Macaca mulatta: one gene and its partner. The main gene of each other region encodes a partner of the protein of the gene in region 2 in a complex. Links are inferred from orthologs where the notes say so. Each region holds a gene or a part of one and is shown on either strand. Other genes may lie near its edges. The genes, in order: STRAP and GEMIN4.

The links.
Region 1: GEMIN4 (region 2) and STRAP share a complex: the UniProt entries of both Homo sapiens proteins name them as parts of the SMN-Sm complex. The link is inferred for Macaca mulatta from reciprocal best matches to the Homo sapiens genes GEMIN4 and STRAP.

The regions. Positions count from the first base shown.
Region 1 is NC_133416.1:18,364,014-18,367,821, reverse strand, and holds part of STRAP (serine-threonine kinase receptor-associated protein), read right to left. Parts: intron 2,060-3,808; coding exon 1,963-2,059; intron 754-1,962; coding exon 616-753; intron 1-615. UniProt on the Homo sapiens protein: The SMN complex catalyzes the assembly of small nuclear ribonucleoproteins (snRNPs), the building blocks of the spliceosome, and thereby plays an important role in the splicing of cellular pre-mRNAs.
Region 2 is NC_133421.1:2,295,058-2,299,665, forward strand, and holds the start of GEMIN4 (gem-associated protein 4), read right to left. Parts: upstream 2,923-4,608; coding exon 2,913-2,922; coding exon of another isoform or gene 2,520-2,912; exon of another isoform or gene 1,065-2,519; intron 1,051-1,064; exon of another isoform or gene 790-1,050; intron 1-789. Other genes in the region: uncharacterized protein LOC721152, read left to right, coding at 2,520-4,094. UniProt on the Homo sapiens protein: The SMN complex catalyzes the assembly of small nuclear ribonucleoproteins (snRNPs), the building blocks of the spliceosome, and thereby plays an important role in the splicing of cellular pre-mRNAs.

The DNA of each region.
Region 1 (3,808 bases), on a different chromosome or scaffold from region 2:
GGGACTACAGAAAAGCTAATTTTTCTTCTTTTTGTATTTTTATTTTAGAGACGGGGTTTCACCACGTTGGCCAGGCTGGTCTCGAACCCCTGACCTCAAGTGATCCGCCCACCTCAGCCTCCCAAGGTGCTGGGATAACAGACGTGAGCCACCACGCCCAGCCCGCAATGGTTTTATCTAGTAAAAAAACATAAATTACATTACCAATCCAGCAGTTTTTGCTTTTTCTTTTTTTTTTTTTTTCTTTTTCAGAGGATGTTTTGCTCTGTCATCCAGACTGGAGTGCAGTGTCAGGATCACAGCACAATGCAGCCTCAACCTCCCAGGCTCCAGCAACTCTCTCACCTCTGCTTCCCAAGCAGCTGGACTATAGGCATGTGCCACCACGACCAGCTAATTTTATTTTTTGTAGAGATGGGGGTCTCACTGTGTTGTCCAGGCTGGTCTCAAGCCATCCTCCCACCTCAGCCTCCTAAAGTGCTGCGATTTATAGGCATTAGCCACCATTCCTGGCCTCTTTACTTTTAAAAAAAAAGTAAATATCTTTCCATTTTTAAGTAGCCAAATTGTCTTTTGTTACCTAAAACAGAAAATGAAAGTATTTCTTGGACATACCTTACTGCACTATGAAAAGCAATAGATCGTCCATAAGTTATAACCAAAATCTCTCCCTCAGGAATATATTCCATACTACTAACAGACATATTAAAATTTAGAGATTTTACTTCTGTCATGGTAGCATGATCCCAAAGTCTGCAAAATAAAAATAAAAATATGATGATGTTTACTCATGTCAGAAAAAAGCTTATAAATTCTAATTACATCTGCAGATTAGCCAAAGAAAGAACAATCACAATTACAGAAAAACAACATTCATTCCAAGTCACAATTACAGATGATAAAAAGAAATTCTGGGTTTCTATATACAATGTCAAATTATGCATGACAACAGCTTGTAAGTAAAATCAACTTTAATACCTACATATACTTCCCAATTTGGCAAAACTACATAAGACAAGTTCGAATCTAGTCAATTTCAGCACTGCTATAAATAGTGGTTCTTACACTCTGTTTTTGTGAATCTAGCAATAGCTACACATCTTTCCAAAGAAATATACATCAGGTGTCAGCAAACAAGATTTTTGTATAGAATTTCAGAGGCTTCATGGACCCTCCCTTTAACCTGCCCACAGACCCAGGTTAAGAACACCTGCTTATAAGAGATCAGGATTTAATTTTCTTCTGAATTTTGCTGTCTGTATATACAAGGTGAGCATCCCTTATAGAAAATACTTGCGACCAGAAAGAAGTTGGATTTCAAACTTTTTCGGATTTTGGAATATTTGCATCAGACACTTACCGATTGAGAATCCCTAACCTGAAAACAGAAAATTCAAAATGCTCTAATGAGCATTTCCTTTAAGCATCAAGTCAGCACTCAAAGTCTCAGATTTCAGAGCGTTTCAAATTTCAGATTTTCAGGTTAGGGATACTTGACCTGTAATAGTAAATAGCTCCAGATAAATGTGACCTGGGTGCAACTTAAATTTTAATGTTCAGAACATTTTTTGCACATAATATTAAATGTATTTAAAATACAAGCTCTAAGGTAAAATATTTTTCAAATTTTAAGTTTGCTTTTTGTTTTTGAGACAGTCTAGCTCTGTCACCCAGGCTAGAGTGCAATGGCGCAATTTCGACTCTCAGCAACCTCTGTCTCCCAGATTCAAGTGATTCTCCTGCCTCAGCCTCCCGAGTAGCTGGGATTACAGGTGTGTGCCAGCACACCTGGCTAAGTTTTGTAATTTTCATAGAGACAGTGTTTTGTCATGTTGGCCAGGCTGGTCTAGTACTCCTGACCTCAAATGATCCATCCACCTCACCTCCCAAAGTGCTGGGATTACAGGCATGAGCCACCATGCCCAGCCTCAAATTGTAAATTATTTTAAAAAAAGTACTTACCGAACAGTTTTGTCATCAGCAGAAAGAATCTGTTTATCCTCACTGCACCACAGAGCTTTTTTTATACCAGAAGTGTGACCACTAATTTCCTTAGGTTCTTGAGATAAAACAATTAAAAGTACATTTGTTAATACATGATTTTTTTAACTGAACAATATTGAAACTATTATATATTTTAAAAAACACACATTTTAAATTAGACTGCAACTTTTCAAAGCCCAGCCCAATTCAAACCTGATATTTATACAGAATACAGTTAGTTTTTCCATACTGGAACATAAATTTACCTGCATGACAGGGACTCAAGGAACTACTATGCTTGCTATATGTAGCTGAGTGAATGCACCACTCACTCCCTCTAGGCTAAATTTCTGCACAACTGATAATATTCAAAAGCATTATTGTATCGCCATGAAATAAAATAATAATTAATGTGGCACAATTTAATAAGAACATGGACCTAGGAACAAGATAGTTGAAACTGATTCTAGTACTATGGCTAACTCTGGGACCTTCATCCAAGCAGCTATTGATAGTAACTAATAGGAAGTAAGAGTTAGAAGGAAAAAGGGAAACAGAAAGTGGGACAGCAATTCCCAAGAATGTTTCTACACTGTGAGGAAAACATTAAAAAAAAAAAAAAAAAAAAAGGAAGGGAGTTTAAATCTGTAGGAGATTATCCTTTCAAAGGACTTCAAAAAACCCTCACTGCTTTCTCTAGGGGCAAAAGCAGACACTGGAGGCAATGCCATTCAACACTATTTTCACCTTTGGGCATGTTACTTAAGTTTTTAACTTTATTTCCTTATCTGTAAAATGAGATAACAATGGTTACAAATGAGAATAGTGCTTAACAGATAACCTGATACACAGTAAAACCTCACTAAGTTGCTATCATTTCTGCTGCCAGCACAGCGAGAAAGAGCAACTTTCATAAAACAGCTTTGGGAAAGGCAGAGTATGAAAAATGTCCACCCAATCCCTGAACTACCTTGCTTTGACCCAATCCCTGAACTACCTTGCTTTGACCCAATCCCTGAACTACCTTGCTTTGCTGAATGAGTTGACAGATTAAGTGAGGTCAGAGTCCTTTCCTATGCTTTGGCATAAATTTATCAAAAAAGAAAGCAGAAAAAAAACCCTACATGCAACGGAGAATAAAAAAATCTGTAAATGGGCTTTGTTTCCTCACCTTAAAAATGTTTTCGTAACAAACTACCCTAACACTAAAACGTAAAATATTTTAAAAAGCTCTCAGAAATGGAAGGTATCTCAAGAGAACAACTGCTTAATTTCCAATGCGGTTCTGACTCTTATTACTCTTTTCAATGTTATAGATTTATGACTACATAAATGCCCACATAATAAAATTTCAAAGATACCAAACATATAATAAAACAAAATTATGTTTGTCATGTTTTGGTAGCTAAGTATATATATATATGGTGAGGGCAATGATTAAAATATTATAAAATAAAGTATGTAGAGTGGGGATGACACCTATAACTTCTGTAAAATGAGAGAATGCATAAAGGATTTCACCACCAAAATGTTAAAAAGTACACACCATAAAACCGCCTTAACAAAATTTAAAAGCAAATGATAAATTGGAATTCAATAAAGAATCTTTAAAAACCAGTAAGAAAAACATGAACACAACAGATAAATGGGCCACGGGTAGACAGGCAATTATTTCATAAAAAAGGAAATACGTTAAAATGGTATTCAACAGCATTTTAATCTCATGAATTTTCGCATTAATACAACAGAATTATTTTCTTAAATTGACAAAGATAAAGTTAATTATCAGTGTTCACTAGAACATGTTGGGTATAGATACATATAT
Region 2 (4,608 bases):
CAATCACACAGTCACAGGGTAATGGGCACAGAAGCAATCACACAGCCACAGGGTAATGGGCACACAAGCAATCACACAGTCACAGGGTAATGGGCACAGAAGCAATCACACAGCCACAGGGTAATGGGCACAGAAGCAATCACACAGCCACAGGGTAATGGGCACAGAAGCAGTCATACAGCCACAGGGTAAAGGGCACAGAGCAATCACACAGCCACAGGGTAACGGGCACAGAAGCAATCACACAGCCACAGAGTAACGGGCACAGAAGCAATCACACAGCCACAGGGTAACAGGCACACAGCAATCACACAGCCACAGGATAATGGGCACAGAAGCAGTCATACAGCCACAGGGTAACGGGCACAGAAGCAATCACACAGCCACAGGGTAACGGGCACACAATCAGACAGCCACAGGGTAACGGGCACACAGCAATCACACAGCCACAGAGTAATGGGCACAGAGCAATCACACAGCCACAGGGTAATGGGCACAGAGCAATCACACAGCCATGGAGTAATGGGCACAGAGCAATCACACAGCCATGGAGTAATGGGCACAGAAGGAATCAGACAAGCCCTGCCTTCACCCTTTACAACCTTGCCTTGGGAACAGGCCTCAAACATTCTTCTACCTTTCAGGTAAACAGTCCACCCCACAGCTCCTTCTGGTCAAAAACAAGCTACTCATGGCCCTGCTCTGTGGGAGAAACCAGGGAGTAGATACAGAAAATACTGTGCTAGATTAAGCCTTCCTTCAGGGAACTAACGATTGACACAGACTTACCATGGAAAGCATCTTGGGATGTTTAATCAGACATGGGTTTAAATCCTAGCTCAGCCATTTAAAAACAATGTGATTCTGGCCACGTGCAGTGGCTAGCACTTGTAATCCCAGCTACTTGGCGGGGCTGAGGCAGGTGGATCCTTGAGGCCAGGAGTTCAAGACTAGCTGGGGTAACATAATGAGAACCCCCTCCATCTCCAAAAAAAAAAAAAAAAAAAAGGATGTAATCTTGGTCAAGTTGCTTCTCCAAGCCTTCCTTCTGCATATGTGGGGATAATACAGACTTCATGTTATAACTTTGAGGATCATGTGATATATACCAGTCAAGCCCTTTCTAGGGGGTTGGTATTGCTATCTCCTGACCCCATCTCTCCGGGACGCTATGATAGATAAATACAGCTACAATAAGAATCGGGTTACAGAGTCTAGTTAGGTACTCAGTAAATGTTGGTTTCCCCAAACCTTTTCATAGTTGGCAGGACCAGAATCTTGTCACTATTCTTTGCCTCCCCCAGCTCAGAAACATCAAAGGATATAGGCCTTTATCAGGCATGTTTCCTTTGGCCTAGAAACTAAAACGAGGGTACAAATACTGCTTCCTATTCCTCATTCCTGAGGCCTCTCCCCTCTCCTAGGATTGAGAGATGCTACTCCTTCCTCAGTCTCTCATGCCCACGAGAGCTCATATTCCCCATTTTCCCAGGCCAGACACCAGCAGAGAAAACGCTGACTCCAGGAAACTAAGGACCATCTTACCCTTCCCACCATTTATGAGAGCAGCAGCAGGACAAGGGTTCAGCACTATGTAACCCACTTGTGGAGGCAATCCATCTCAGCTCACAGTGGCTGAATCTGACTCCCAGGGAAGGTCAGGCTGCAGAGGGGACCTCTCTGGGGGTTACGGCCCTTCTTTCTGGCTCAGGAGGCTCTCCCAGGGTCCCAAAATATGGTCCCTCCTGACGCTGTAAATTTTATTTTATTGCATTATTGGATTAGCTGAGCAGATGTTTGGCCCTCAACACCTGCCTTCCAGGCGCAGTAAGTACCCACAGTTTGAAGTAGTAAGTCAGTTACTAGCTGGAAAACACTCCGGTGCTTCATCACGGATGGTTAATTAGTGCTTACCAGAGCCCGCTTCTAAGGTTTATTATGCGCCTACTCCATGCCAGGCACGGTGCTAGGTGGTGCACATGTAAGATCTCTTCGATTCACAACCACCTTTTGAGGACTATTATTCCGGTTTTAGAGAAGAAGACACTGAGGCGCAGAAACGATTTGCTGAGGGTGCCCCCGCCTGGATGTGGTGGGGCTGGGAAGCAATTACGGCTAAGGGGCTCCAAGCCCTAAGAGTTCTGCCATACCGCTCCTGAAGAGCTCTCTGGGGGCGGGGAACAGACCATTTCCCCCCAGCCTACTACTGCTGACACATCTCGGGGTGCCTCACCCCCAGCTCTCCCAGAACAGCCTCCTGGTCTTAGCAGCCTGTGTCGAGGCTTAGCAGGGAGCTCCTAGTTCCAGGGTTCCCCCTCTCCCAGACCTTGCAAGATTCTGAATCAGGACGCACGCAGGTTCAGAAAGTGACGCCTCAGGAACACAGCCGCCCCAACCGCGGTGTGACCCGCGCAGCCCTGCACGGGACACTGTGCCTCGGCGATCTCCATGAAAAGTCGCCCAACACTCAGTGGGGAGACACACTGTCATTCCCCCAGCTCTGTCGATGAGGAAACCTGATGAGCGTAAGACACTTGGAGCCTAAGACGCTTGCTCAAGAACGCAGTTGCCGTTCAGAAAATGAGGCCGCCGGGACACCCGGGGGTGCTCGGAGAAAGCCCGTTTCTCAAAGCACGTGCGCGAGCCCCGGGCCCCGGGCGTTTCCAGGGGCTCTCACTTTACGTCTGCTCGGTGTTTTCCCGCGGAGTGGGCAAGACCCGGCCCAACGCGCAGCGGGACCCGGACCACCCCCGTCAAGGCCACCCGGGGACCCCCAGACCCGCCCCGACGTGGTGGACGCTTTGGCCCGGGCCCAAGCGAGCGTGCGCGGCAGGAGGAGACGCGACGGGGCGGCACCGTCCCGGTGGCGCATCGCGAGACGCAGCCCGGGGCTGAGGAGACGCGACACCCACCTAGGTCCATGGCGGCGACGCCGGCGGCCGAGCGGGGCTAACGCCCCCTCTACTCCGAGAACGCGAACGCGGCGCGGGACGCACAGCACAATGGACGGCGCAGGCGCCACGGCGGCGGCGCTCAGGCCCCGCCCACAGTCTCCCCTGCGCACGCGCAGTCCTCACGAACGAGCGCGCCAAGCGCACAGCGCCGCCTTCCGGCAGAGGCCTCCCACCCACCCTCAGGTACCAGGCGTCGCTCCCCAGACCCTCCGCACCGTCCCCTGCCCTGGCCCGCTTCCGGGGTCTCAGCGGGTCCGGCTCACGAGTCCCCGGCCCCGCATTCACCCTCACCCGGTAACCCCGGGCGTGCCCCGCACACAGCTCACCGCCACCGAGCGCCTCCCGCGGGCCGCCCACTACCCAGCGCGGCCGCACCGCGCGAGCCTTCCACTCCCACGCGTCCAGTCCGCCCCCCACACAGTCCCTCAACGCGCTCCTGCCGCGCGGCGCCGCCCCCTTCAGACAGCAGCGGCCCGGATCCTAGACGCTTTTGACGGCTGTTCCTCCCCAGAAAATGCACCGTGTGAGCCCAAACGTGGTGGGGTGGCGCCAGTACGCGGGACCCCGAGCTTGCAGCCTGTGCTTGAGAAAACACAAACATCGTGTGCCTGCCTGCGTTCCCCCCTGAGATCGAGTAGTAACCGCCATTCCAACTCTCCACCTCCAGCTTCGAGCACCAGGCACCGCCTCCACCCCCTCATGTGCCAAGTGGAGTTCGAGCTGGCGCGCGCGGCCCTCAAGCAGCTGAAGGGTCCTGTGAGCGATCCGGAGAAGCTGCTGATCTACGGCCTCTACAAACAGGCCACCCAGGGCGACTGCGGCATCCCCGCCCCTCCGGCCTCAGACGTGAAGGCCAGGGCCAAGTGGGAGGCTTGGAGCGCGAACAAAGGGGTGTCCAAGATGGACGCCATGAGGAGCTACGCGGCCAAAGTGGAGGAGCTGAAGAAGAAGGAAGTGGGGGGCAGGGAGCGCGAACAAAGGGGTGTCCAAGATGGACGCCGTGAGGAGCTAGGCGGCCAGAGTGAGGAGCTGAAGAAGGAAGTGGGCGGCATGGAGCGCGAACAAAGGGGTGTCCAAGATGGACGCCATGAGGGGCTACGCGGCCAGAGTGAGGAGGTGAAGAAGGAAGAGGCTGGCTGAGGGCTCCTCGGGAATGGAAAGGGATTCTTAGACCTTGATGGCTGAAACGTCCTGAAACTGTCGCAAGCTTAGCCGAGACATCAATAAATCACTTAAACTGCGTGAGAGTGACCGACTGCTGTTGGAACAGAGGAACTGGAGGAACTCGGTGACTGAGTGCTGGGGAGGCGTCCAAATACACAGACTGGCTTTTTGTATGGTTTTGGGTGGAGTTCCCAGCCCTCCTATTACAAGAGCGTATGTAGGTATTTGGCAGGAGAGAGGGGCACAGTGTGCTGTGGAAACGCCCAAGATCTGAGGGCAGGAGACCATTCTCCAGTGACGGCCTCTTGGGAGGCTGAGGCCCCAGCCCCTTTTCTCTTCAAGGCGGATTCACTAATACCCCAACACCACAGAGGGGAGCGGGACTCTGTCCTAAACACTAAAGTCCAAAAGCCCCCACTGGAACACAGGGCCTACCAAGTTCATGTTTTGAGGGAGACCAAGCTTTCCGTGATGATAGTGCGGTGAAACA